Solanum lycopersicum: one gene and its partner. The protein of the gene in region 1 interacts with the protein of each later gene in a pairwise test. Links are inferred from orthologs where the notes say so. Each region holds a gene or a part of one and is shown in the gene's direction. Other genes may lie near its edges.

The links.
Region 2: the proteins of DNA topoisomerase 6 subunit A (region 1) and DNA topoisomerase 6 subunit B interact in binary tests that used the Arabidopsis thaliana proteins (3 or more experiments, as listed by UniProt). The link is inferred for Solanum lycopersicum from reciprocal best matches to the Arabidopsis thaliana genes RHL2 and TOP6B.

The regions. Positions count from the first base shown.
Region 1 is NC_090808.1:1,314,308-1,318,094, reverse strand, and holds DNA topoisomerase 6 subunit A, read left to right. Parts: upstream 1-1,655; 5' UTR 1,656-1,761; coding exon 1,762-3,021; 3' UTR 3,022-3,182; downstream 3,183-3,787. Other genes in the region: pentatricopeptide repeat-containing protein At5g02830, chloroplastic, read right to left, coding at 3,758-3,787. UniProt on the Arabidopsis thaliana protein: Component of the DNA topoisomerase VI involved in chromatin organization and progression of endoreduplication cycles. Relaxes both positive and negative superturns and exhibits a strong decatenase activity. Involved in cell-elongation processes.
Region 2 is NC_090800.1:17,329,322-17,333,017, reverse strand, and holds part of DNA topoisomerase 6 subunit B, read left to right. Parts: intron 1-2,938; coding exon 2,939-3,054; intron 3,055-3,172; coding exon 3,173-3,258; intron 3,259-3,360; coding exon 3,361-3,433; intron 3,434-3,696. UniProt on the Arabidopsis thaliana protein: Component of the DNA topoisomerase VI involved in chromatin organization and progression of endoreduplication cycles. Relaxes both positive and negative superturns and exhibits a strong decatenase activity. The B subunit binds ATP.

The DNA.
Region 1 (3,787 bases):
TTTCCTTTATTTCAATCAATAAGAACTTCATGTTATTTGTTTTATTGGGCACACATTGTATACACCAAGTTGGTAAAATGCATATGTATAATATACAATAATTTAATCAATATAGATATACAATTCAGCTTTATCCAACTCTCGCTCGTCTCTCTTCTCCGTATAACATGTAGCTACAAATGATAATTTATGAGATTTTTTAGTGCTATATGTGAAAGTTTCCCGTTTTCAAAATAACAATGTAAACCAAGTCCAAAACATATTGGGCCAATAGCTATTCAAAATCCTTGTGAATATAGGAAAGTCCTGGTTTGTTCCTCCCTATTATAAAACGCCCTCACATTGTTACAATTCTTACCATCCTTGTATCTGTCCTAGCATGAAACCCTCTTCATCTTCTTCCAATCAAAATAAGGAGGTCAAAATAATCCATTTACAAAGATATTAAATAATTTGGTGGGGTGATAGGACACTGTGGGGGTAATAGGACACTTCTTTATGCAAATACGAAACAATTTTGATGGTGTCTTTATGTCTTTTCTCTCGTGCTATATGATATAAAAGAAATCTTAAATGTTTGTTGCAAAGAAAATCAAGATGCATCCCTTGTTTTATTACATTGGTTAGAGTTTTTACGGAGGAGGAGTTTATTGTTGTTCAAGGTGGAGTCGGAATTTTAATTCTATAGCTTCTATTTTAGGAAAATGGCTTTAAGTATTGATAATTGAGTCCTAAATGTAATACGGTACATATTTAATGAACTTTCTAAATTAATTCGTTTTAAGAAAAGAAACTGCTTGAGTTAGCTGAATCTGTATCTAGACACGATATTTTTATTGTTTATAAGTATATAATACCATTTGTATTTTATTTTTAATTGTGTGTAATGTCACTATAATGAAGTAAATTAATAACAAGCAACTCTTTATTTGCGAAGAAAAGAACAAATCTACACATGAAGACATCTCAAATAGATAAACTGGTTTATAAATATGGAGAAAAGTATATATCGTTTAAATTTGTCATCACATCGTGAGAGTGAAGAATGAGCAACTTTTATATAATTTGGTGATTAATATATGCATCATTTTCTCTACCCCTTTAATGGTTAATGTGTATACACACTATATAGTCTTAGTGATGTGATTTGTATCTACCCTCCTCATGTTCTGTGGAATTATACTAAATATTTTGTTATTGTTGTTATTGTCCCAAATATTAAAAAGGATAGTTCGATGCACGATAGTATTTGATAAATTGAAATGAACTACTTTTTTCGTTTAAAAAAGGATGACCTAGTTTGACTTGGAACGGAGTTTAAAAAAAGAAATAAGAAATTTTAATCTTGTGGTCTAAATTAAAGTTATGTCAAATGTATCAAAATGCACTTTAATCTTGTGGTCTTAAACATGTCACGTGGAAAGTTAAAATTAAAGTGTTGCAAAAAAAAAAAAGGGAAAATTCGCGTAGACATATTGCGAATGAATTTACAGTCCGTCCCCATTAACCCCTCGGGCATCGACCCAGGAAGAATCAATTTTCGACTTATTTTTAAAACAAACTAAAAAGAAAATAGAGACATTCTTTTTGAAACGAAGACAGAAAATTATTCGAGAATATATTTAAGAGATTATTTTGGACATATACCGAACTTTAGGGACCATTTTTGCCATTTTCTTTACTTTAACCAAAGCCCTAAGCACTACAGTACCTATCCTCACATTTATTGTCATTTCCCGCTTCACCTAATCCCCGTCGCCGATGGCCGACAAGAAGAAACGCCGGCGAGCAGCTCACGACTCCGATTCCGACTCCGAAAGCCGGCCTTTCCAATCCAAGCTCAAACCCGACTCCGTCATCCTCCAAACCCTAAAAGCACTCAAATCCTCCTGTTCCACCACTTCCAAAACCCTATCCCTCTCCGACGTCGGCCTCTCCTCTACCTGCCGTGAAGTCGCCGACCTCCCAATCGATGAGGTACAGTCCGAAATTGAATCGTTAGCGTTTACTATAGCTAAATCCATACTCTCCGGTGAAGGTTTCTCTTTCTCCGTCCCTTCCCGCGCTGCCGCTAACCAACTCTATGTCTCCGAACTCGACCGCATTGTTCTCAAAGACAAATCATCGGCTCGCAACTTCGGTAATGTATCTACTGTTCGTAAAGCAACAATTACTCTTAGAATCCTTCAGCTTGTTCATCAGCTTTGCACCAGTAACATTCATGTCACAAAGCGTGATCTTTTCTACACCGACGTTAAGTTGTTTCAGGATCAGACGCAGTCTGATGCTGTATTAGATGATGTTTCGTGTATAGTTGGATGTACTAGGTCTAGTTTGAATGTGGTTGCAGCTGAGAAAGGAGTTGTAGTTGGAAGGTTGATTTTTAGTGACAATGGCGATATGATTGATTGTACGAAAATGGGAATGGGAGGGAAAGCTATACCTCCGAATATCGATAGAGTTGGTGATATGCAGAGTGATGCATTGTACATATTGTTAGTCGAAAAGGATGCTGCGTTTATGAGATTGTCTGAAGATCGGTTTTACAATAGATTTCCTTGTATAATCGTGACTGCAAAGGGTCAACCGGATGTGGCAACTAGGTTGTTTCTGAGGAAGATGAAGATGGAGCTGAATTTGCCGGTTTTGGCATTGGTGGATAGTGATCCTTATGGGTTGAAGATTTTGTCAGTGTACGGATGTGGATCGAAGAATATGTCATATGATAGTGCGAATCTGACTACCCCGGATATCAAGTGGTTGGGTATTAGACCGAGTGATTTGGACAAGTATAAGATACCGGAGCAATGTAGGTTGCCAATGACTGAACAGGATATTAAGACTGGGAAAGATTTGTTGGAGGAGGACTTTGTGAAGAAGAATCCCGCGTGGGTTGAGGAGTTGAATTTGATGGTGAAGACTAAGCAAAAGGCTGAGATTCAGGCGTTGAGTTCGTTTGGATTTCAGTATCTGTCCGAAGTATATTTGCCATTGAAGCTGCAAGAACAAGATTGGCTATGAAAATCAAATCTTGTTGTTTAACTACTTCAATCTTATCGTATTAATTTATGCCTAAAGTTAAATGCATATCTTGTATCTCGTTTACTGTATTTTTATGGGGAGCGTCTTGTTGTGTTAACGCATCTTCGTTCTTATGATTTTGAGTGGATTGGTTTGATTGCGCTTTTTTGAGTCGACCTCTCTACCCCACAAAGGTAGTGATAACTTTTGAATGCGTCCTATCTCTCTAGACCCTATATGTGACTTGTGGGATTATAGTGAATATGTTGTTTTGTTACAGGATGCTTTCCCGAAACAACCTCTCTACCCCACAAAGGTGGGGATAACTTTTGGGTACGTCCTATCTCTCTAGGCCCTACTTGTGATGACTTGTGGGATTATGATGGATATGTTGCTACAGGATGCTTTCCGAAAACAACCTCTCTACCCCACAAAGGTAAGGTTAAGATTTGCAGATATCATGTCTTTTCCGTTGTGTAGTTGTGATAGGATGCTTTCTTTGATCCACGATGATGCAAGAATATTGGAATGTTATGAAGCAGCTACATATATTGTGCGAGAATAAGAACACATCATTTTCTTTTGTTACTTTTGTTTACATTTGATGGTAAAATGTGAAGTTTTTAGCATGTGGTATATCATTGAATATACAGTGTTTATTCGGCTGTTAAAGGGATGAAAGAACTCTACGAAAAGAAAGAGTTCGTATAAATCTATACATATCATGTTTCGTACATCATTGCACTACAGAAGCATCTAACCTTCT
Region 2 (3,696 bases), on another chromosome or scaffold:
ACTTAGTGAAGTGAGTAGTTTGAAGAACTTTGTTGTGAATCATACTTTGTTGTGAATCATAATTTGACACATGCACTTTTTAAAAAACATTCGAATTTGTGTTTATTGAAAGTTGGTAAAACAAGATTTCTCTCACACGTTATTATGACCACCCAGAATCGCATTGTGAAATCGTCTTTGGAGAAAATGGTCATGGAAGGGTGATTAGGCAATTGAAGTCAAAACTCGTGAAATAAAATCTCTTATAATGATGAGATAGTATTGATTACTATTTGGAATTTACCGAACCAATTTTTGATATGCTAAAACTACCGATAAAATTACATCTCATGTGATTGAGAAGGTCAAGAAAGTAATCTTTGAGCATGAGGGGAAATTTTATAGAATAAAACAGCAAATAAATAATACTTCTCATTAAAATAAAATGTAATATCCATGTAAATATAAGGGATGAATGCTATTACTTTGACGCAATAGTTAAATATATTCTACATGAACTTGCTATTAATTCTTTATTCTAATATTTAGGCCTTCTAAATTATTGCTATTAATTCTTTAATTTAAGATATTTTAATAGTTAGTTATTTGTTTCAATTCTCTTGTGGTTTAGGAATTAGGAGTCGTACTCCTGCCTCGTATAGATTTATGAGTTTTATCAGAAATTAAGAATGGGATCTTTGATAATGGACAATTCACATCCTAGGACAAAGATGACAATCTAAGTGAAATTGAATGGTGAAATGAAGCGAATTCATAAAATCTGCACAATCGTATAGTCTAATATTAATTTGGTATATTTGAATTCATCTTACACACATGTGATAAGTGTATGTTACGGTCCTCTAATGGATCTAGTTATGGGATGTTGCTAGACAAAATCAGAGTTAATGTAGAGTGATTTAGGAGTTTGAAAAGAATTTTTCTTCCTGCAATCTCTTGAGTTAAAGTACTCAAAAAATGGATAATTTTCTGCATATCATTACACTGGTGGATTATCCACCCATCTGAAAACAAGGAAATAACTTCCTACTTGAATTGAAATGAGAAAGTGGAGGAATAACTCCTTGTGGCAACAACTGCTACACAGAAATAGGAAAAATAAATAACTTATAAGCTGAAGTAATCTACTCTTTATTTTCCTTAAATCTTCCATGTGTAAACCGTCGGTAGACTAAAGGGGTGCTAAAGATGTAGGTGTTACAGTGTTTCTAGTATCTTCAGTAGCCTATACCATAGTATGGTGCTTTCTCTGTGAACCAAGAGATCTAGCCTATTTAATCTGGTGTTAAGTATTTTTTGAATTTAGATCATACAGTGAACTAGGTCTTCTTAAACACAATGAACACAAAATTCTTGTTTTCTTTTTTGCTTAATAATGTATAACAAAAATATTATAGATGCTCTTCGCATAACTAAAGATTGATAACCCAAATTTACTACTACTTCCATTTTAATTTATATGGCATTCTTTCTGTTTCATGACATCCTAAAATGTTTGATACAAGTCTTCATTAAGGGTAAGTTCGGAACTAAGTGTGAATACTCTATCTAATAGCTTATTTCTGATCTCGCTGTTTTTTGGGCATCACATTTGTTATGTCAAGATATGCAGTTTCAAAAAACTTTGTTATGTCAAGATAGGATTCTCAAATTAATTTGTACTACAACTTTTAGAACTTTAAAGAATTCAAATTTGTTTCACTATTCCATTTTTAAATTTGAGATGATGTCATCTTTATTGCACTAACTTTCCAATCATTACTTATTTACCTTGTAAAAAAAGAAGTTTTTCAAGCATTATTGCTTTTGCTTGGTAATAAAAAAAGGCATTTATTGCTTTTGCTATCACTGATATGATGCAAGAGTCAAACTATTTTTAAATTCAATGTCTAGTCAAACATCATATAAAATTAAACTGAGCTGGGAACAAATTTTCCCCTATCATTTCCGAAGACTTATTTCGATTTTTTTGAGTAGCAAGTCGTAGTTGAATAAGTTGAAATTGAAAGCATACTAAACATTGTGCCTTCAACACGCCCCTTCCCATGCTTACATGATTCTTTTCATGGTAAGCATGTGAAGTTCTTTTTGATACTTGACAGCAGTGAGACTCGAGTGGAGGACTTTAGCCAATCTGATAACATGTAGATTTGTGTGACACCTAATCTATTAGCTTAAGCTAATAGAACATACTTTTATTTAATTAATATTACGTCTTCAACAAATAATAACGTAGAGAGAAAAAATTTAAATTGATGGCTGGTAACGGGTAAGAATGCAGACTACACAACAAAGTAAGAAAAAACCTTGATGAGGTCAAATATAGTCTTATTTTGATCATTAAGTTCCTTTGGTAGCCTCTATGCTTTAAAATTGGAAGCGAAATTTAAAACATATGTTTCACAAGAAAATCTGAGTTGCATGAATGTTATGTTTTGGTTGATTCTGGCTCTGGAAATTCTGGCATGTGAAATATGTAATATGTTGAGAACTATGTACCTACTGTATTATCTCAAAAAACAAAAACTATGTTCCTACTGTTAGGTTGATTGCCATCGTAATATTTCAAGTCTGATTCTGGAACTGCAATGAGAATTCATTATGATGTTGCTGACAATGGGAATCCCAATATCCATGACGAAAGAGAATTCATGTGATATACTGAACGCAGCCTTGCTAGAGTTGCATTTTGATGGGTTTGTGTTTTGTTCTCTCATAAAAACCTTATACTTACTATCATCACATCTACCATTAATAAACCAATCTTTTGTCATGGATATTGGAATTTCTAGTGTCAGCAACATCATAATGAACATTTATATGCTTTGTACTTATATGCATATAATTATAGTTTACCACTCATTCACTTGCATAACTAAAAGGTTTGCTTCATTCATTGTACATTATATCTAAAACAGAATATTCTTTTACATCCTAGGGGAGATGGGTCCAGATTTTAGCCCAAAAATGTCAGTTAAATCTCTAACACCACAGCAAATAGTTCGCATCCATCAGTTGTTTCGTCAAGCCAAATTTGATGATCCCAGTGGTGATGTAAGTTCCTCTTTGTGAAATTCTTGCCTCTTTTCCAATATCCTTTAGCAACACCAAACTAAAAATGTTTGGTGATTCCCAGTTATCTCATGCATATGATTTCTAAGCCATATTGCAGATTTTAAGTCCCGCTGGAGAATATAATCTACGTCTTGGCATTATAAAGGAGCTGCACCCAGATATGGTTGCAACCTTTTCAGGAAGGTTGGATCATATATTAAGTTCTTCATCTACTTAGTTTGATGAATCCTTTGATTGGACAATACAAATCATAAAGTGTTTAAAGCTACTATGTCTTCTATCCAGTGCTCAAGTATTCGAAGGTCATCCATTTATCGTGGAAGCTGGAGTTAGTGTTGGTGGGAAAGATGTCAAACAAGTAAGAATCTCCCTTATGGTAAAGTATATAAAACATGGAGAACGTAATATTCTTAGTCCTGAAACTGATTGCATCTATTCAATATGTTGTATCTCCATTTAGAAGCAAAGGACCCATGAGAACGCATCTTTATCTGCATTTGTTAAGTATTTAAAGATGATTTGATTTAGGATATGTTTATCTGTTTGGTTGGGTCGGTATTTGTATAAACCAGTTGCACGAATCGACCATTGGTTTTTAGATATGCTCTCCTGTGAACCGAA